3 linked regions of the Struthio camelus genome follow. The protein of the gene in region 3 interacts with the protein of the main gene of each other region in a pairwise test. Links are inferred from orthologs where the notes say so. Each region holds a gene or a part of one and is shown on either strand. Other genes may lie near its edges. The genes, in order: SAMD3, TMCC2 and HSPD1.

Evidence for each region.
Region 1: the proteins of HSPD1 (region 3) and SAMD3 interact in binary tests that used the Homo sapiens proteins (3 or more experiments, as listed by UniProt). The two-hybrid records come from large-scale screens. The link is inferred for Struthio camelus from reciprocal best matches to the Homo sapiens genes HSPD1 and SAMD3.
Region 2: the proteins of HSPD1 (region 3) and TMCC2 interact in a two-hybrid assay, tested with the Homo sapiens proteins (2 studies listed by BioGRID). The two-hybrid records come from large-scale screens. The link is inferred for Struthio camelus from reciprocal best matches to the Homo sapiens genes HSPD1 and TMCC2.

Annotation. Positions count from the first base shown.
Region 1 is NC_090944.1:70,804,087-70,811,042, forward strand, and holds the start of SAMD3 (sterile alpha motif domain-containing protein 3), read right to left. Parts: upstream 3,020-6,956; 5' UTR 2,884-3,019; intron 2,786-2,883; 5' UTR 2,759-2,785; coding exon 2,680-2,758; intron 1,942-2,679; coding exon 1,752-1,941; intron 1-1,751.
Region 2 is NC_090965.1:7,178,792-7,186,414, reverse strand, and holds the start of TMCC2 (transmembrane and coiled-coil domains protein 2), read right to left. Parts: upstream 3,059-7,623; 5' UTR 3,044-3,058; coding exon 2,867-3,043; intron 1-2,866. Other genes in the region: DSTYK (dual serine/threonine and tyrosine protein kinase), read left to right, coding at 5,146-5,383.
Region 3 is NC_090947.1:11,797,146-11,804,197, forward strand, and holds the start of HSPD1 (60 kDa heat shock protein, mitochondrial), read left to right. Parts: upstream 1-4,010; 5' UTR 4,011-4,241; intron 4,242-5,278; 5' UTR 5,279-5,280; coding exon 5,281-5,454; intron 5,455-7,052. Other genes in the region: HSPE1 (10 kDa heat shock protein, mitochondrial), read right to left, coding at 122-211, 1,633-1,797, 3,612-3,614. UniProt on the Homo sapiens protein: Chaperonin implicated in mitochondrial protein import and macromolecular assembly. Together with Hsp10, facilitates the correct folding of imported proteins.

The sequences.
Region 1 (6,956 bases), on a different chromosome or scaffold from region 3:
AGAAACCAGCTATTCAATACCTTGATCTTAAAGTATATGATCATATGGATTTCTTAAACATGCTTAACAGTTTTATTATGTGGTTCTTGACTCTGCCACAGAAAATGCTTCACAAACAACAGCTTATTTACCTAAATTCCCTCTAAATAGAGGAATATTAGTACCTACTTTTTAGGCAGGAAGAGTAGCCAAGGAAAGATTTTAAGGTAAATGGTATTTATTAATATTTGAGATTTCCGGCATTTGATTTTTTTCTGGAATTTGCAGAAAAGCCGTGACCTGAACGCACAACTGCAACTGAGTGCTTTTTATGAGACAATAAGGCCTGCGTTGTAAGACATGAGGAGGGCATGGGGAGCAATCGTATCTGAGAAGCAGTCTAGCCAGACATCCCTGAAAAAGTCAAGGATGGAATCCAAACATTCAAAACAGCATTCAAACTGCCTTAACTATAAGAACATATCTGTTTGTTGGAAATCCCCTGCTGCAACCACTATGCACCTGCTGTGCTTCGAATGAAGTAGTGGGCTTACAAACAGTACTCTTCTTCACAGCAGATTTTCGCTCTGCCTTCAAAGAACAAGCTTCCTGTAAATCAAGTGAGGCAGGACCTCTATGCAAAGAACCAAGACTGCTTGTGATTGATTGCATAATTAAAGTCTGTGATAAAACATATATTCAGTGACATCCTCTTCTTCCTGGCCTCTCCTTCCCTCCAGCAGTGCAGGATCATTTTCTGAGCGGCTTTCACAAACATTTCTGAGACTCAAGGATGACAGAATGCGTCTATATAGGTATTTTAGTCCTTCTTATTACTGTGCTTTGGAAGGGAATAACCCAGCCACCACCATTTACCATCCTTTGGCTTGCGCTGTGGAGTTATTTCAGAGCACACACATTGGATTCCTTTTGGATGAAAGTAAATGCTATAGTAAATGCTCTACAGATCTACTTCTATTGGACTATTACTGCACACAGTTAATGTTATAGTCCTTTCCTTCAAAACTGGGAGGGGAATGTGCCTTCATATAAAAATGGCATTTTGCACCCATTGCAGGCTATTTCTAGCTTTCTTGGGCCTAGAAGAGAACGTACGGAGAGCCCAGGACCTCTGTTCTCACCCAAGATTTCCAAAACAAAATCTAGCCTGGCTTATAATAGATCAGAATGAGAAAAGTAAGAAAAAAACCCTGCTCACCAAGAGCTGGAGCCTGCTCAATGAGGACAGTCTCTGTGGAATTTGTTTTCTAAAATCTAATCTAGTCTATCGTTGAAAGCTCACGCTGTGATTATTAAATGCTTACATCTTGATCAAATTCAGAAGGTTTCCTTTGGGAGATTAAACACATTGGTGCCACAAACACCATCTCTAGCTAAATCACATGATTTTACTCGAAGGTTTCTGATGTTACAGCATTTAAAAGTAAATGCCTCAAAACCTTAATACAGCAAACGCAGAACATTTCAGCTGCAGTGATGAAAAGTTTGATGATGCTTCATGCAAATTAGAACTAGGTCCTAGAACTGGAAGTGAAGGGCAGTTTAAATTATTGGTACTGTCCAGGAATGTTGATGGTATGTTCAAAAAACACAAAGTTAGAACCATATTTAACATGATGTCAGAGATCATTCAAAGTGTAAAAACAGTTGCAACCTACAGCAGTAGAGCTAGTAAACATCAATTTTAAAATGCTAAGAAAAGAATATGGATGTACTCAGACTGATATTTTCTCTACCATATACAGACTCACCCACTGATTGCTTCTGGGAATTTTGGAGAAGCTGTTTCACAATAGCAGGTAAGGGATTCTAGCCCATTTTTTTGTTGTTGGTATTTATTAATCAGGTCCATTAGCACTGCCTGGTGCCCAATCTTCTTTACCAGCTGCTGCACCATACGATCATTAAGAGCCAAAAGAGCTGCTCCACTTACTTCTTCTTCTGAAGATGGAAAGGGATAAGATTATAATTACAGTAAGATACTTTACAGTTATAATAAGATTCTAAAACATGACAATGGAGGGCAGGTCCAAGGTAAAAAGATGCCTTCTACTGCTGATGTTCTTCTTCAACTATTAAAAAAGATAATTTGTTTTAGCTACTGTCCCTTCCAAGCCAGCGCCCGAAGTTTTAGTCACTGGCCAGATACCTTCCAGTAACAAAATGACAGGTCTGAAATAAACAACAGTGAGTGACAATTTTAACGCTTTAAATCAGACTTTGCTTAGACCACAGCATATTGCTGTTTTGTTAATGAAGGAAAGTCAGCTTTTTAAGAGAATGCATAGCATACCATGTTCACATAATAATTTCTTATGCACTATTTTGCAGAGTGTTTATATACGCAGGCAGAAAACATTTACATACTACAGTTGAATTATTTCAAAAGATGTATACAGTATAAAATAGGCCCAGTCACAGCCTGTTAAACTGCCAGTTCTGTTTCTAGAAGGCGTGCCTATTTACATGTAGGCTTAATCTTCCCCTCAGCATTTCTCACAGACTTGATAATATATCTACACACTTACTTCGATTTACCAGGTCTGTCAGCAATGTCCCTAATAAATTTCTATATAAGCCTTAAGTTGGCCTAGATATACATACCCCAAAACAAGTAATGCCAATTAAAAGCATAGAAAGAAATATGTTCTAAAAAACACACATAAACAAAACGCTTACCACGAAACTTAGGAACTAATTCTCCTAAATTTCTCCGTCTCAACCAGTTGCAGACTTGATCAACCGACCAACTTTCCATCTTCAGGCGTTGCAAAGATAAATTTCACTGTGAAATGAAGACAGAGGATTATTTTTATGCTGAGCTCTAAACTGAACTTGAACATCTTGTAGAAAAAATGCTCCTGCAAACAGTATTATACTTACATGGTCTGAATAAAATTAATGGGAAATGATCAAACTAATGCCTTTTGCAAGTAGCAGTTTTCTTAGACCCCTCTTTCTTCACCGCCTCTCCTTTTCCTGCTTTCCCTCTGTTCTAAGAGACAGCCTCATTCCTTTTAAAACACGACCTGCTCCGGTACCTTTAACACCCAGGTTTCCACACAGAGAGGAAAAAGGTGTGAAATTCACCACCACCACTCATCAGGAAATGGTTGACATTTTACAGAAAGAAAAAAAAACAGATCTGATAAGAGTCTGTCACATACAGGTTTATAGTAAACCAAGCACATATTAACCCTCTCTGTACCACCAAGCAGCTAGTCAAGCAAATGCTTAAGCCTCAGTTACAATTAGGGGCAATAAAAGCTTCTGGAAAAGGGAGGGGACATGCCAGACACCATGGAAGGATATGAGTGAACGGAGATGGCCCCCACTGAGCGCCTCACCTCTAGGTGCTGGTGCTGAAGGAACTCAGTGCCTCATGGGATGCAGCTCAGAGAGAGGCTCCCGGTCAATCTGCCAAATCCCTTCCGCTCCAGGTATCACAGACTCCTTCCTGAAGGACTTAATTGAACTGTGAGGAGAGTAAATCACATACCACTGAATGTCCGCTTAAATCCAGTTCACCATATTCAGCCCCTCCCCACCTCATGCTGCTTGAAATTTGGTAGACACTGCAGGCAATACAGAAAGCAGGGCATTTTGCTTCACTGTAGGCCCTAAATAGCTACAAGTTTGATACTGAAATAAAAATTCACCCTTACCGTTAACAGAATCCTAAACTTTTTTCAGGTTGAGAAGTAACCAAAATATCCCAACAAGCAAAATCAGTAACAACTTCATAAAGAGAGGATTACTTGTAAAGAGAAAGGTCTTCCTAGTCTACAAGCTCCTTTGTAGCAGAAAACTCTTCCCATAAGTGATTTTCATAGTAATGTGATTCAGCTCTATTACGTAAATGAGCTAAAGGATCATCAAGTACTCCTATACTCCTATACTCCATCCTTGAAAATGATTCAAGGAAGTTTTTCAGATGAGAGCACGACTGTCTGGCGTTGTTGGCCAAGCATTTCCTTGTTCAAGATACATCCACGTACATACCCCGAGGCGGCAGTGAACTCCAAGTGAGCATGAGAATTCACCTACATAAAGCTCATCAGGAGCTGATCCACTACAATACAATACAAAAAAAAAGTGCACTATCTGCATACAAAACCATTTCTGCTTTTCACCCTTCAATAACACAGACCAGCAAAATAGATGCACTTCAGATTGTGCTCTTGTGCCAATACACTTCAGCAACATAACGGGTTAAAGGAAGAGGCATGTCTTTCTGAATTACATGAGTGGATTTAATTTGATATGACAACAGTAGCCATACAACTCCTTCCCCAGGCTAAGCAGCAATAACAGGGTGTGAAAAATCATTATTTGCTGAGAACTCTGGTGTAAATTAAAAATCACACCTTCTCGTCACACTTCTTACTTCCTTGCAAAGAGTGGGACAAAGAGATGCTCAAAAAACTCGAAAGATAAAACAGAATGCAAAGCAGAAAGATACTTGCCTTATCAACCAAGTAGTGTAAAAGTAATGAGAGATACATTAAGATGGCAGAAAGGTCACTGCTTCATCCTGCAAGAAGACTTGCAACCTAGACTAGGTCATGCTATAGCAGACGAGTAGATATCAACTTTTCAAATACTGTCAAGCAAACTATAGTCACACAAAACAATATGCATATACATTTCATCAGTGTGTCGCTAACTCTGCAGCAAAATGTCCATTTGCACATGGAAATGCAGGCTGTGCACTTCAGGGGGAGGGAAGTGATGGCAGTTTGGAGGCTGCTGCAGAAAACCAGATGATATATAATAAGGTCACTACACACAAATACTTCAAAACACTTCTCAAAAGTGATTTCACTTACATGCAAATACTCTGAGTAAAGGAGCTGGGGAAAGAGCCCACCAGTCTTGTACTAGCACTCCTGAGACAACTAGAAAGACTGAGAATGAATACTGATGTTGGTCTTTATTATTAATCCTATTTATTACAGTAGTATCAAAAGACTACCCAGGGTGGTCACTGTGCTTGGCACGGTGCAAGCACAAGAATATTTATATTCTTCATTCTTCAATCAACTCTTAAAAGGCAGAACAACAACAAAAAACGTAAAGGCAACCTTTTAAAAACAGACAATATTTTAGCCATTTACAGCATGATTTCAAGTCAAATTCAGAATAGTTCTAAGTGTGAGCAATCCCTGCCTGCTAATAAAAACAACAAAGCACTGGGACCCATTTCTTCAGACACCTATTATTAGGACTAATATTAGGAGTTTACCAATATTTCATCGGTGTGCCTAGGAGGAGTCAGGACAACCCTTGCTTTTAGTGCAAAATCCTTCAAGGCTGAAGGATTAAAAGCTTGGTTTTTTAATCAGATCAAGCTAAAGACCCATCTACACTACAGATTTCTGCTGATGCAGTTGGCTAAACAGTATACAGAGATGAGATTCCCAGCCAGCATAGTTCCGTCATGTGGGTGCACTAATTTCCCATACAGCTTGTTTTAGTAGAAGATATAATGAGCTGTCATCAATATGAAATGACACTTCTTCTAAATGAAGGAAGCTATATGTCCAAACACTTTATACAAGGAAAGCGAGTTATTATATTTACTTCACACACTCACTCATGAGAAAAAGCCTATGGCATCACAGCATACAGATACATTAACCTCTGTGCTGATGTCACTGAGGTTAGAATTAAGGTTTAGTGTGGTCCAGTACCAAGGTGAGGAATGTGATGTGTGCACATCCATATGCCACAGCTACGTGGCCAGGTCTCAAAGCGCAAGGGTGATAAGCAGGAATTAGGGCATAACAAAGACATAACTAAAGTATCCTCTGTGTATGCTTTTAATGCTATTATAATTTCTTTTTAATCTTTGTAGGCATTACAGGGACTTCAGTATTTTCTTTCCGCTTGCTACCTATTTTTTAAGTAATTAAAAAATATACTCAAGCTACTTTACAGAAGGTAGAACTGGGTCACTCTGAATATAGCGCTGAGTTACCATGAAAAGGACATCAGCTATCCAGCAACCTTTTCAATAATGCATAGGGAAATACTCAGAAGAGAAATCCTCTCCCCCCTTCCCCCAGAAAAGAAAACACCGACTCTGATTGCTGATGTTTATCAGGCACAGGCTAGCACAAAGCATTCCCCTGAATGCTCACAGATACTGCCAAATGAAGCAACATGAGGGAAGGGAAAGAAAATTCCAATATCAATGCAGGAGTAAGTCTCAAAGTGCATGTTTCAGTTCTCATTTCCATGCTACTGTAGCGTAAGACCAAGGCAGCTGCATACCTATAATCACACAAAGCAACAGTAAGGCTACATAGGAAGATCAAAGAAGAAAACATGCACTCACAATAGTCAGAAATAAATAAAGGGGAACAAGTCCCACATTAAAAGAAGTTGTTTCAAGAAGGACAAACCAGACTGCCCTTTCTAAATCTTGATCAAAGTTCAGGGGAATATCAACACTCCTCAATGTATCAGTCTGCTGAGCTTATCAAGCAGACAAATTCCATTGCTGCAGGATTAACTCTGAAGATTACTATACCTAAATCTACTCTTTCCCTAAAACATTTGCTTCTGATTACATATGGAGTTTCTATTATCCATGTTTTTACCCTGCAAGCTTCTTTAAAAACATTTTCATCTGTAAAATTTAAAGCGCTACTGGAAAGAAAGCTGTCACAAAGAAAGCTGAGACAAGCTTCCACCCGAATACCAAGTTCTGTTACAACTGTACAGACTATTTGGTAATTTGAAAGCAAGAAAAGAAACTTAATTTGACTGTATTTTAAGGCAACGTAATATTCATGCAGACCAGACTCTGTCCTTGCTATCACTGATAACAGTACACAAACCATGCAATAATGCAATAATACTAATAACTGTTAGTTACAAGAGAAAATTATCTTATTTTCTAAGAATACAACTTCTAGAAATCAAGCCACTGTGAAATCAAACACTTATAT
Region 2 (7,623 bases), on a different chromosome or scaffold from region 3:
TGTGAGATCACTGCAGCCCTCCGGACACGCTGTCCCAGCCCCACTGCTCTGGACAGGGCCAGGCTGCACCGGCTCTGGGGCTGCGCGTCCTGCGGGGCTTCCCTGAGTGCCTCCTCTGGTCCCAGGAAAAAAGAAGGGCTCTGGATAGTGCCTCCATACTCATTGCTGGTCTTGGCTTTCAGGTTCAAAAGGAGGGAAAGGCAGGAGCCGCAAAGACTGAGATCATGACACCAGAGATGGACATTATGTCAGGCTTCAGCTTGCCACCCTTGTCAGATCAGCCCACTTGGGAGAAAAGAGAGACCGAGGGAAAACAGTCAGATCAGAGATGCGTGGGGAATGATGATCTAAGTGATAAATGCCTTTCTGGTGCAACACCACGGGACAGCCGGGCAGTCTCCAGAAGTAAAAGGCCTGGATGTTTCCTTCTGCAGTGTTTTGTATGGATCCAGCCACTCTGCTGCAGAGCGCAGGAAATCTCTGCCACCCAACATATTTTTAAGCAGAATTGTGTGTCATGCATCTGCTTTACTCCTTGCCAGAACTTTTTTTTTCTTTTTTTTTTTTTCCTAATGGAGCAGTTGCTCATAGAAAAAAAGAGCTGAAATTGGGGCTGGCGAAAGGAAAGCTGCCATGTACTTGCCAGGGAGGACCTGCCCGGGTGAGGGGTTTGGAGACGACACAATGCAGCCTTCTGTTTCCAGGTTGCCAGCTCAAATCTGTCTCAGGCTGGCAGCAAACAAAAGTTTACATCCGATGCTTGTTTGATATCCACTGGGAGGTGAACTGGTGGGCCTTGGTCAGTGGCTCCAAGCCAATCCGACTGGAGCTGTGGACAGCAGAGTGTGCACAGGGGCAAGGGACCAGCTCATTTGCTAGCAGTGAACAGACCTCACCGTAGTGAAGGCAGTCCAGGAAAAGGAGGAGTTTTGGGCAGGAAAACGTTTAAGATTACTGTCCGCTTTCTAAAGACGCCACTAAAAGTGGCACCAGCAGGTGAAGTGACTGAATTGGTGCAGTCGGTCAGTGGCAGGGCCAGGAATCAGGGCCCAGCGCTCACCAGAGCTGTGGGCAGCACTGAGATTGGTTTTTGTGCAGCCTGTCCTGCACAGCAAGTTGGAGGAGTCACTTCATGCAGGCAATTAATTGCTGAGCTACAAATGTGCTTAAAGACATGCTTTGAGAAGCAATTCTGCATTAGGGTATCCTACTTGCATCGATAAAATCAATGGGAATTTGGCCACGGATGGCGCTGTGAGCTTGACCAGGTTACAGACAAGGCTGGGCTCCAGCTCAGAGCTGGACGTGCCACCTAAAGAACCCTTAGGGCTTCCTGGTCATCACCACGATGATATGTTCTTCAAAGCATAGGCCACACTGTGCATCCTGGAGCTCCATTTTCCATCCCTTTTTTGACTCACTGCAGGTGAAAAAGGACTTGGGATGGAGTGGGTGGGATGATGCCAGCTCCCTGCATGACCTTGACCACACCAGTAAGACTTTCTAGGCTAGAAGACAGGCTGAGGGGCTCTGCTGGAAAGCTTCACAATGAGCATTTACCATGCTGGATGCCTGGTTGCATGTGGGTGACTAGGGACGTTTTCTACTTTTGTCCAGCCCTTTTTGAAATCAAAGAGTGGAAGCAACACTTCCGTTGCCTTTGAAAGCGCTACCAAGAGCACACTCTGACCACAGCAGCAATGTGCTGCAGCGCCCGGAAACATCGAAGTTACAAGCAGGAAATTCATCCCTGCACAAAAGCCCCGCTGCGTCCCACGCCGGCCGGCCCCTGTTGAATATCTGAGGATCTGAGCTGCTCTGTATTCAAACCAACAGGAAATTCCTGCCCAAACTTCACCTGGGACCACCCCGTTCTGGCTGTTCGTACCCCTGCCAGTGCCTCCAGCCCACTGAGGACCGGCTCCCTTCCCATAGCTCTGCAGTGCAGTGAAACTCGTTTTCCTCGTTAACCGGACACAGCCCAAAGACACAGAAGGAGCAGGCTTGGGGCCATTTCTACGCTGCCACTTTCAGCTGCAGCAGCAGCACGAATCCTGCCAGACTGACTCGTGTTTCCCAGAGCAGCGCCCACACGCGCAGTGCTGGGGGCGACTCCGATGGATATTTAGTAGGATCCGCTCAGCTCCTCTGCAGAGCAGCAGCTCTGTTAGCCCCCTCTGCCCCTAAAAAGGCCACGAGACCCCTCCTGGACTGCCATGGGATGCAGTCACCTTTCCTGCAGCTCCCTGCTGAGGGCCGCCGGTGTCGTCAGGGTCCCCCTGCCTCTCCCCCCCCCCCCTTTATTATTGCTGCTCTTGGGGGCCTGCAGCCTCAGTGATGCTCAGGCTCGAGCACACTGGTGCAAACCTGCCTTGAGAGCATCCGCATCCTGGAAGCATCCCCGTCCTGGAAGCATCACATTCTTGGGAGCATCCCCAAGCATCCCCATCCTGGGACCATTGCATTCCCAGGAGCATCCTCATCCCCAGGACCACTGCATTTTTGGCAGCATCCTCCTCCCAGGACCATTGCATTTGCAGGAGCATCCCATGCCAGCAGCATCCCCATCCAGGGACCATGGCATTCGTTCCCAGGAACACCTGCATCGTAGGACCATTGCATTCCCAGGAGCATCCCTATCCCGGGAGCATCCCCATCCTGGGAGCATCCCTATCCCAGGAGCATCCCCATCGCGGGAGCATCCCCATCCCGGGAGCATCCCCATCGCGGGAGCATCCCCCATCCCCCAAGGTCACACCTGTAGCAGAGCAGGCACCAGGGTGCGGGCACAGCAGTGCCCCCACGGGGCGCTTGCCCCCCCCCCCGCGGTTCCCCCCGGTACGCCGTGGCGGCCGCCGGGGCTCACCTTGAGGTCGGGGGGCTTGGTGCGCGGCGGCGGGCCGGCCCCCGCCTCCGGCGGCGCCGCCGCCTCGCCGGGCTTGGCCTCCATGGCGGCGGGGCCGGGCGCCTCCGACTCCGCGGCCGCCGCCGCGCCGGGGTCCTCGTCGGGCTGCTGCAGCTCGTCCGAGCGGCACCGCTTCATGCCGGTGCGCCGTGGCTCCCCCGGGCAGGCGGCGGCGGCGGCCGTTAGGGCGGCGGCGGGCGGCGCCGGGGCGGCCGGTGCGGGGGCCGCGGGCTGCGTGCCGCCGCCGCCGCCGCCGCCCTGCCCGCGCCTGCCCCGCCGCGCCCGGGGCGGGCGGCGGCTCCGCGCCGCGCCGGCTCCGCGCCCGCCGGCATCGGCATCGGCATCGCCGCCGCCGCCGCCGCCGCGGCTTGAGCGGCGGCCGCGCTGCCCAATGGCGGCGGGCGGTGGGCGGGGCCGGCGGCGCCCATTGGCCGCGGCGGCGAGGAGCTGTCGCGGCGCGCGGTGCTGCCGCGCCGTCCCCCCTCCCGCCGCCGCCGCCGCCGCCGCCGCCGCTGCCGCTCCCGCCGCTCCGGCCGCTCCCGCCGCTCCGGCGAGCCGCGCCGCTGCGCCAGGCTGCCCGGGGCGGAGGCAGCGCGCTCTCTCTTTTTTTCCTTTTAAAAATACACATCTTTACCGAATATAAACCATACATTTTTATTTTTCCATTTTTTAATTTAATTTTTTAATTCTTCCCCGTCCTCCCCACTGCTCTGCCGGTCGGCGGCCGCCCGCCGCGGTCCGCCCTGCCGTAGCTCTCAGCTGCTCCGCATGAGGGGCGAGGGCTTAACGCGCCGCGTTGTCCTGTTTCCGACAGCAGCCGGAGCGGGTGGCGGCGGCCTTCGCTGGGGGCACCGGGGCTCATCCCGAGCCCCCAGCCCGCCTGCAGCCGGTTGCTGCGCGCCAGGGCGCGGCTGGCTTGGCGCGATGGCCGGGCTTCGGTGGCCGGCGACGACGCTGCTCCCTGGGCTGTGCTCCCACGGCGCTAAATCTGCATCACTAAATTGGCCTCTCACGTAAGCAAAAAAAAAAAAAAAAAAAAAAAGTTTGGGGACAAAGAGAGACTTAAACTCTAATATTTTGCCTTCCCAGAGCCACCCTCCCAGAACCCTGCTAGCGTTATCTAAAGAGCATGAACTAACCGGCCTTTCCCAGCTGCTCCAATGAGATAATGCTTATAATTGCTTCACGGGTGGGTAAATGACAGCCCAGTGCAATTTTTTTCTGCAGGTCTCACCCTAGTTCCCGAAACCTCCCAGCATCATTTCATTTTACACTGAGCTGGACTCTCGGTCCGTGAACCGGCAGCTCATGTTGCCTCTGCTTAGGATCTGCCAGGATTAAGGTCTGGGCCTGCTGCTTCTGGACTGAATCGTAACAATAAAGCACTTAGCATGGCACAAAGCGCCACCCAAGCCTTCCAAGGCAGCGCAAGTGACCTTAAATGGTACCTCAGTCCCATGCCAACCCTGAGCAAAGGGCAAAGGCGAATTTCAGCCCCTAGGAATTCTCGTCTAGAGGTACGATTTATGTCTTGGAAAAAATAGCGCTTTGTTTTCATAAGAAATCCTAGCAACTGGGAATATATTTTAAAAATAAATGCCTGGGAAAGTGTTTGCTTGAAGGACAACAACAAAAAAGTGTTTATCGGGGATATTTTCCATCTGCTGGAAAAGGGGATGCTTGGGGACTGCGCCAGGCGGCTCGGAGGGACGGGGCAGCGCTGCCTGCTCGCGGGGCGCCGGCGGCGGGGAGGAGGAGGAGGAGGAGGAGGAGGAGGAGCAGGATGCGGCGGGGTGAGGCAGGCCTTGGCCGGCTGCAGGGGTTCGCCACCCCCCCCCGTACCCCCCCCCATCGGACTACAACTCCCAGCGGCCCCCGCGGCGCCCACCGGACTACAACTCCCAGCGGCCCCCGCGCGGCGGAACTACACCTCCCGGGATGCGGCGCCCGCGGGGTCCGCCCCGGTCTCCTCCCCCTTTGCCCCGCGGCGCCCGGATAAAGGTTCCGCTCCGCACGCAGCGTGGCTTGCTGCGGCGCCGTCCGTGAGGAGGAAGGCGGCGGCGGCGGCGGCGGGGGTAGGGGAGGCGGGAGGGGTGGGGGGGGGAGGAAAACGAGGAAAGGCCCGGCCGCTGGGGGCGCGCCGCTCCCTCCGGGAAGGCGGAGAGGCCGGAGACGGCAGCCTGGCAGGGGCCGAGCGTCCCCCGGGCTGGGGAGGGGATAGCGGAACGGACCCGGAGGACATGGAGGGCGACGGAGCCCCTTCGTGGCGGGGTCCCGGCGGCGGCCTGGTCCGCGAGCTCTGCCGCTCCTTCGGCCATTACAACCGGCACCTGGCGCGGCTGCAGCACAACCTGCGCGAGACCAAGAAGTTCTTCCGCGACGTCAAGTACTCCCAGGGCCACCCCTTGGCCGCGGCCGGCGAGGGCCCCCCCGCCGCGGCTGGGGACGGGGCCCCCCGCGACGGCCCCGCGCCGAGCGGTGAGAGAGGGCCGGGGGGGCCGCAGGGGGGCATGCCCGTTTGGGGGGGGGGCTGGGGGGACGGAGGGATAAGGGGTGCAGGTGGGCTCCGGAGGGGCTGTGCGGGGCAGGTGGGGTGGGCTCTGTGGCGAAAGGGGTGTAGGCGAGGTGGGCTGGGCTGTGGGGGGGCGTTTAGAGAGGCAAGAGGGGTACGGGGATTGGGGGGGTGGGCTGGACTGGAGGGGTGAGGGGTGCAAGTTGGGGGGCTGTAAGGGTGGGTAATGGGGTGCAGGCAGGGTTGTTTGGCGTGAGGGCTGGGGGGGCGAGCAGTGCAGGGGAGAGGGCTATGGGGTGCAGACTGTGGGGAGTGAGGGTTGTGGTTGGGGGGGTTACAGATATATGGGGACCTATAGGTTGTGATATGTGGGGGTGAGGGTGCGCAGGTGGGCTGTGGGGTGAGTTATGGGTGGCACAGGGTGTAGCTGGTGATGGGGAGGGGGGAGAGCACAGCTGAGGGGTGTGGGGTGTGCTGCGGGGGCAAGGGGTCCCAGTGAGGCAGGCTGGGAAGGACTGGGGGTGGGGGCGCCTGGGGAGGCTTGGGAGGCCCGAGAGGGGTTGTGGGGTGAAGTGAGCAGGTCAGGGTGTGGGTGAGGGTGCTGGGGTGGGGGTGTCTGGGAGAGGGGCAGAGCAGCTGGTGGGGGGGCTAGGAACTGCGGGGAGGTGGGTGGCTCGCTGGGCGGCGTGTGGTGTGCCGCGCAGCGTGTCTGTTGTGAAGCTTTGTGGAAGTAGTATTTTGCTTCGTTCTTCTGCTTTATCTTCATCTGTCACAGTTGACAAACATTGCTCCTGCTAGGAGCCTTCCTGCCACGTGCAAAACTTCATCTTCCATAAGACTGTCTTGTGAGAAGAGTTTAGTGTGACGTTATATATATAAAGGTCTTTATTCATTTTCAAATGGCTCGTGAGTCATCTCTATTGGCTACTTGTCCAGGATACTTGTCCATGCTTGTCTTATGCTCACAATTATGACTTGAAAATTAAAGTGTTGTTGAGCTTTCTTTTTGACAAGAAGTGTTCCATGTAAACTTTCAGAATAGAAGTGGAAAGCTTTGTAGAAATCTCGTCTCTGAGTCTGCTTGTTTACGTCTATCTGCGATTTCCAGGAAGTAGGAACTAGTTGATTTTGCTCTTTTTCTGTCAGTTGCCCTGCTGATTGAGTGGCAGTGCTCCACTGGAATCACTGCTATAAGAAGAACCTAAATGGAAGAAAATGTTTCTAGTCGACTCTCAGTTGCATCCTTGAAAGTCTACTTGCAGGGCTCTGTAGGCTGTGGATGCATCATTAATTAAATGTTTCTGACCTAGGGTAAAGATTGCACCAGATATTCTGCCTGTTGTTTCTGATATGGTGCAGTTCATTCCTACTAGTTTTCAAATGTCTAAATTGTGCTGGCTTGGCTTTACTGCTGACTGTCACCAGTTGGCCTTTAAGTATCCAGGGCTTGAAAGAAAGACTATCTGGTTTAGAGCTTGTTCATGCAAACAATAAATACAATGTAGGCTCTTGCTTCAGGATTTCAAACTTGAGAGACTTTATAACACTTGCTGTTATTAAGATAAGAATAAAACATAAGTCAGCAGTTCTCAAACTGGTGAGGTGGCAACATGGTCTGGGTGGGACCCAGACCAAGCTAACAAGTCTCCACACTAGAAAGTGAGAAGTCAGTGGTTGCAGTCTTACGGGGAGTATGGAAAGAGCAGAAGAACTGGAGTTGATAAAGTATGAATGTAGCTAGTTTTCTTAAATAAATCTTGATGATAGACTAATTGCAATCACCTTTGAGCAGAGTTTCTTGTTTCTATGAAATTTTAGTTATGTTTTCTAGGACTGTTTGAAATTTAGTTGCTACTTTCTCTGGTCTGATGTGGGGAGGCTATTTCAAAGGTGTCAAAAGGTTTAAGGAGCACAGTTATCTGTGACTTCAGAAGCACTTTTTCCTTAAATCTGCCCTGCAAGTGGTTTTATAGTGAGAAGGATTTTGACTAAGCAGTTCTTGAGACTTGTGCTGCTCTGCAGTGTGGTGAGGCTTGAATACTGACTCTTGTTTTGTGAAACGCATAGGAATTGGGAAGTAGATTGGACAGGTCTCTTATTGCTTACAGCTTAAGTGGAAAAATAAACTGTGAAAAGTAAACATAAAGGTCTCAAACAAAACAAATGAGAACTGGTTTGTTTTCGAGACACCTGTGAGGCCCATGTG
Region 3 (7,052 bases):
ATACCAACAGTTGCATTTTTTGAATGCTGCGAACCCCATGAAAAAATTGCAGTGTTTATCACTGACAGTGCCACCTTTTGGGAACCAGCTTAGTTTCCATTCACAAAGTCAGGAAACCTACCTTATCATCTAGTACAATCTTAGTACCACCGTATTCTGGCAGCAAGACCTTTTCACCAACTTTTACACTTACTGGCTGAATCTCACCATTCTGAAAGAAAAGAAGAAAAACTTTTTTTTTTTAAAAAACAGGTAAACAGGTTGATTTAATGGCAAGAATTCCTTCAAACCATAGTGATCCTCCCCCACATAAAACACTCAAGCAATCACAGTAACTACATTTTAGTTACGCAGTGAAAACTAGAATGCGCAAGTTACCTAGGAATAAAAGCACCCCAGTCAATTCTCAAGCATCAGAACCCTGCAATATTTCAACAGCAGAACTGCAGTGGATTTTCCTGAATGCAAAGTACTTCCGTTAGTTTGAGTGTAAACGCAAACTGAACTCTTCACTTGGCATTTTGAGGATGACTTCGCTTTAAGAAGTCTGAAAAGTTAAGTGACAGACCATGAAATCCCCCTCTAAAGCAATCAGGAAAGTCCATTTCCCTATTCTGTGACCAAGGCTAATTTCTTGAAGTGACAGTTAAGAGCGCCTTCTCATCTTTGTTACTTTGATTAACTTGTCAGTATTGCTGGCAGATCTATTAAACTCTACCACAGATTTCCAAGCATAAGTCTATACTTATGTTTTCGTATTATAAATTATTAGCTAGTTAGTCAATTATTAGCACCATTTCACAATATAAAGCTTTGAGATATCATGCTTTTTGTCTCAGTATCTATGGAAGGACTCAAGGTAAAGAAAGAGTCTGAGTCAACATGCACAAGTTAAATTTTAAACACATTTCGCACTATTACTACTAAATGGATACTTTCTTTGGTGGGGAAAAAAACTTGAAACGTTGAAGCCCACAGGCCGATTAAGACTATGAAACGAAGTCAAGACTGTCACTATCCTTTTTATGATCCTAGACCTGTTTTTTTAACACGTAAAATTCAAGAAAACTGACCTAACAGTTATTTTTGATTCCCAATTTTCTTTTTGTCCAGTAAGCCTAACTGATGCTTACGGGCAACGATATTTTGCACCGCGTTAAGACACAGAATACCACATTCTGGGATTCCACCCTGCTCACAAATTACAGGAATTCAGGCATGCGATCAGCAGCAGTTGAAGAAATAAAGCTGCCAATCCCATACGTTTCACCTGAAAGGTGATCAGACAAGGCATCCCAGAAAATCATAGTTTAAGTATTCAAAACTGAAAAAGCCTCCCACTGTTTAATGCTGCTTGTAAATATCAATAAATAACATTCATTTTTGAAAAGCCATTATTTCCCATTTTAGAAGCAAGAGGAAGGCTGGAATTCAAGGTCAGAGCCAATGAGGAAAGGGTGGACACTTGAGTGAAGTTTGAAGTGCAGACTCAAGAGAGGCGGTAGGAATCTCATCATCCTCATTTGTTGTCATGAAGTGTAACCAAATTTATACAGCAACCGATCCCTTTATGTTAAGCTTCCAGCTACCACCACACCATTACCAACTCTACCCAAAGTTGGATCCATTTACCTTTCCTTTGGCTCCCGATCCAACTGCCACTACTGTTGCTTGTAGCACTTTCCCTTGAGCTTTTTCTGGAATCATGATGCCTCCTTTGGTTACAGTCTCAGCTGCACATCGTTCAACCAGAACACGATCAAAGAGGGGAAGAAATTTCCTAAATGCCTTTCCTGCCTGTGAAAGGAATTGTATATTGTAACAGGAAGATCACTACAAAAAAAAAATGGCAATAAAAAAGTTCAAACCCTCACAGTGGTTTATCTTCCAAGAGAAGTCAAGAATTTAAGAAAGATGCTGGGTAGTTGTTCTTAATAGTGGCAAGTATATGCAACCTTTAATGGCAGCAAAAAAAAAAAAGTTAAAGAAACAAGCAAAGTTGAACCGCAGGTGTTCTGTATCTCAAGCCTAGAAACAATTCTCTCTTGAGCAGAATTAACAGGCACACCCTGGGCAGTCCTAAGATTTCAGCCATACAAAGATGTACTCCAGCTAACATCATAAATCACCACCAGATGGAGCTGCCTTCTCATTTGGCTGGAAAATTCCATCAGCTTTTAAGCTGCTCGATTCTAAACCGTTAGTGCTCCTGTAATTTAGTTAGCATCACTATTGATGAGTATATGAAATGTATTTATTGAGTCACAACCAGATTTAATGAAGGACCTCTCGGGCTAGTTTTCTGGGGGCATTTTTATCGGCTGTACTGGAACGTTTAATAGTAAAAAAGCAAAATCTAGCATGTACTGTGTGTATTTTTCAGGTATTTTCAAAGCTTAGCATTTCATATAACAATTTACAGCTTCTAAAGTTTGAAGTCTGAAGTGAGAGTGTAGTTTTTTTCTACTGAGTTCTACAAATAGACTACAACTTTGCAAAAAAGTGAAGGTTTTTGTAAACCCCCAAGAATAAGCAGCTAGGCACATTTGTGTGTTGGCTGCTTTTCCTTCATGTAGGAAACTAGTCAACAGCTACCTCTGCTTAAGAGTTAACTTTTTTGCTACTACCTACTGCTGCTACTGGCTGCATTTCAGCAACAGTAGCTGCATTCTCACAGACTAAATGCAAGTGCAGAGTCAGGGATAAGGAACATGCTTTGATGAAGAGCAAAGGTCTGGAGACTTGCCAAGTCACGTGGAGATAGCGCTCCACTAGACAGGTATCCAGAGCCCACTCAGAGAAGGTTCTAGCATCCAAGGTCCCTTCCCCGAGACCCATCGTTATACACTCTCATGCTTTAAAAAAAATCAGGAATGCCTCAAAAGTTACAGGCAGGACAAACACAAAGCCCAGTAAACAAAAGATGCTGTCCCCATTTCCCCCCTCCCCCCAAAAAAACTTGCTACTACTACAACGTGGAAGAAAAAAAAACCCGCACAAATGGAAAAGGCTGCCAGTTATGAAAACAACAGCTCTGAGCTTCATTTATTTTTCAAGTGACCTGTGCTTAAGGGAAATAAGCAATTAGACTTATGAACACGGATATTTTACACCGAATTAGAAAATGCGAACACAGGAAAAAAATTCCAGCTCCACGGTAAGGGCGCCCCTGCCCCTGCCCCGCTGCTCTTCGCGGCGAGCTCCACCCGCACAAGCTCGCCAAGCACAGGCGCTGAACCCCCAAGCGCCTTTCTGGCTTCTGTGCCACCAGGCTCGGGGGCCAGGCCGCCGCGCCGCACCCCGCCCGCCCGCCCGCCCGCGGGGCTCCCGAGCGGCCCGTCTCGCCCCAAGGGCGCGCTGCCCTTGCCGCGCTCCCAACGGGCTCCCAAAACGGCCCCGCGCCCGCCGAGCCGAGCCGCCGCGCCGCGCACCCCCCCCGCCGCCGCCGCCGCCGCCGGCCCGGGGAGGCGCCCGCAGCAGTGGCGGGCGCTGCAGGGCCCCCGGGCGGCGCAGAGCCGCGGCCCCCCGCCCGCTGCTAGGCAGCGGCGGCAGCAGCACAGGCCCCTCGCAGCCCCCGCGGCGGGCGGGCGGCCGGGCGGGCACTCACTCACCATGGCGGCCGCCGCGCTCCCCGCCACCGAGTGACCCGGGCCTGCGCCGCGCACACGTGAAAAAGGTCACCACCTGCGCATGCGCGCGGCAACCCTCCCCCCCACCCCGCGCGGCCCGCCCCGAGGCGGAGCCCTTCCGCCCCCCCGAGCCGCGATTCCGCCGTTTATTTTTCCCCGCCGGGCCCGCGGCCCCCGCGCAGGGCGGCCGCCGCTGCAACGGCACCGCGCCCCGCGCCGCACGGGGCCCGCCGGGCCCCGGGGCCCCGCGCCGGCCCGGAAGTGAGGTCACGTCACCTTTGACCCGCGGCGAGCATGAGCGTTCCAGAAGGTTCTGGAACTGGCGGGCCCCGGAACCTGAGTGGCTCATGCCGGGCCGCCAGGGCGCATGCGCGGAGGGCGGGCGGCGCCGCAGCGCTGCGGCCGTGCGCCCGCGCCAGGGGCGGGGCCGCGGCGGCTATGCTGGTTCCCGGGCTGGGCCGCGCGGAGCCCCACATGGGTGGCTGCCTGGCCGGGGGAGGGGCCGAGCTAGTGAGTGCTGAGCGCCTTCCCGGGCTCGCGCGCAGATCTGCCCGCTCCGCTTCGAGTCCGGACGGCGGAGCCGCCTGCCGCTCTCCCCCGCCTTGCACAGAGGTGAGCGTGTGGGGCTGCCCCTGCTCGGGGCCCGGCCGGGCTCGGCCTGGCGCGGAGCGGCCTTGCCCGGGGACGGGGGGGATGCCAGTGGGTCGGGTGCGCAGCCCCCTCGCCCCTTGCCCTCTGCCTTTTGGGCGTTGCGGCGGTTGCGGCCGTTAGGGGCGCGCGCCGCCTGCAACGGCTCTCGCGATTCGAACGCGGGGCGCTGCGGCCGCCTTCAGAGCGGCGCGCGCTGCGGACGGGGGCCGCGCGCCTGCGCCCAGCGCGTGCGCGCGCCCAGCCCGGGGCCCTGCGGCGGCTCGTGCGCTTCCCCCCGCGGCGGCGGGGGGGGGGGGCGGGGGGAGGGGCGCTCCGCGCCCGTGCTCGTGCTCGGCCGGGGGTCGCGGCGGACCAGGCGGCCCCGCGGCGCTGCAGCGCGGCCCGCCCGGCGGCAGGGGGCGAGCGGCTGTTGACCTTGCTGCGCGTGTCCTGATGGAAGGAGACACGTGGCCGGCGGCCCTCTCCTGCCCGCCGCGGCCGCGCCCGGCTGCTTCTCCTCCTCTCGCCCCGGAGCAAGGGCTGCCCGTGGGAGGCAGGGTCGGGCGCTGGGGCCTCGCCGGGCCGCGCCGTCAGGGCGCTACCCTGAAGCGCCCCGCTCGCCCGGGTGCGCGCGGCCGCCCCCGTTTGCCGGTGAAGTGGTGCTGCCTGAGGGGATGGATCCGTCTGGCAAACGGAACGGCTTGTGTGCTACAGCGCCCTGGCCATCTCCCGCCCGACAGCCGGGAGAAGCGAGGCGGGAGGAGCTCAGAGGTGCTGGAGGCTGCTCCATGAGGAGCTGCTGGAGCTGAGGTCTCCTCTTGAGGAGCTGGGCGCCCGAGCTCTCTTACCCTCAGGTAATTGTATGTCTGCGTTCGAAACAATCGGAAAATGAAAGGTCATGGTCACTTGCTTTACTACCTCAATTTTGGGAGGTTTTTTTTTCCCCTTTTTATTCTAAAAGTCGCCGTGCAAAGGACACGGTATTCATATCTTTCTGTGGTGGTGTTTTAATCTTTTAGACATGCTTCGTTTATCTACACTACTCCGTCGGACAAGGCCAGTGTCCAGAGCACTGGCCCCCCATCTAACGCGAGCATATGCAAAAGATGTTAAGTTTGGAGCAGATGCCCGAGCTCTTATGCTTCAAGGAGTAGATCTTCTAGCAGATGCTGTAGCTGTCACCATGGGGCCAAAGGTAATGGAAGGTTTTGCATTTGTACTATGTTAACGCTTTGATGTGGACGAAAATATAACAGTGGAAAACAGTTGTCACTTTTCCTAGATAGAGTTGCATGTTTTCCATCTCCATATCTGCAAGACAAGGATAGGAGAAGGAGTGTGGACAGACCACTGCAAGCAGCCATATTCTCATCTTGTCAGCTGAGCCATGATAATAGTGGACGTGTCCTTCATAGTCGTGAAGGAAAGTACGTTTGACTCCTATGAAAAGTGCAGCATAGTTGCTTAAACAGTATAAAGCAAAACAGAATAAGAGCGCGTGCGCAGTTGATTACTATAGCTGAGTTGGTAGCCTATGACAGTACCCTTGATAATTTGACTGCTTATAATTTTCTTTGCATCCTGAGGTAGTTTAGCTAATATGTGATTTTTTTTTCTTTTGAAAGAAATTATTTTCTGTTATCGTCGCATCGTGTAGTAGTATTAACAAGGTGAGAGAAACATTAAAAGCATAACAGCAAGTTTTTCATTGCAGGTAAATGTTACCAGTTTTTAAAAGGTATTGAAACATCCATGTCAGTGGCATTAATTTGTACCATGTATAGAAAAGATTTGTAGTGTATGATCCCCCTTTCAAGTTCAGGTTTTTGGAAAAGTAGCTGCTGTGTTCTGCATAGTCATACAACATGCCGTAGGTCTTGAAATGAAACTGCTCTGAAAGGAGGAGATGCAGATTTTCTTCAGGCTCTCAGGAATATCTGTTTCAAGTTAGCTCTCAGTAAGGATTTCTTAGGGATTTCTGACTTGTCATGAGGTAGCATTGATCAGGTGTTAGTGGTGTATGTGGAACAATGGTGAAAGTGGTTGCAAACTGCAGTTCTTCAGTTACTTCGCCTTACTGAGTAGCTACAGTGAATTATTTTAGCTCCCTGGTAGGAGTAAATTATATAGTTACAGTTTTGCCTCACTTTTAAAGTGAACACGTTCTGTCATTCACTGCTTGTGAATGTTTTTAATACAGGCAGTTTGCTTGTTTTTTAGTTTTTACTAAAGTTACTTAGTTTTTTTTTTTTTACTTAGTTGTTAAGTACAACTTTCACGTGGAAAGACCTTTTTATTGTTATTATTATACACAGTAGTTAATAAAATCCACGTTCAAAGTAGATAGGTCAAAGCATATCCTAACAGTATATGCATGGTAGTTCTTCTCAAGGCTGCTTGGCCCCTGTGAGATTACTTAACTTTTTACTTACACATTTCTGCACCTTTTTTTAGCTTTATTCAAAGGCAAAAATGCAATGAACTGAGCAGGTGAAGATAAAGGAACAGTGAACTCAGCAAGCTGTGGCTGTTTTCCCTAGGTACAGTTCTCCTAAAAGGAACACGTTTTCAGTGGCTCAGTTGATGAAACTGTTGTTTTGCATCAGCTGACGTTACAACTGTTTAAGGGTGGTTTTAATGCACTGGTTAAAGGACAGTTTCTGATGCAACCTATTGTAACCTTGTGGGTTTTTATATTCCAGTGCTTTCACTTTGATTTATGTGTTATTCTCCATATGTTCATAGAGCAGTTAGGGTTTATACTGTTAATGCCTATTTCAGTTTTCGGCATTT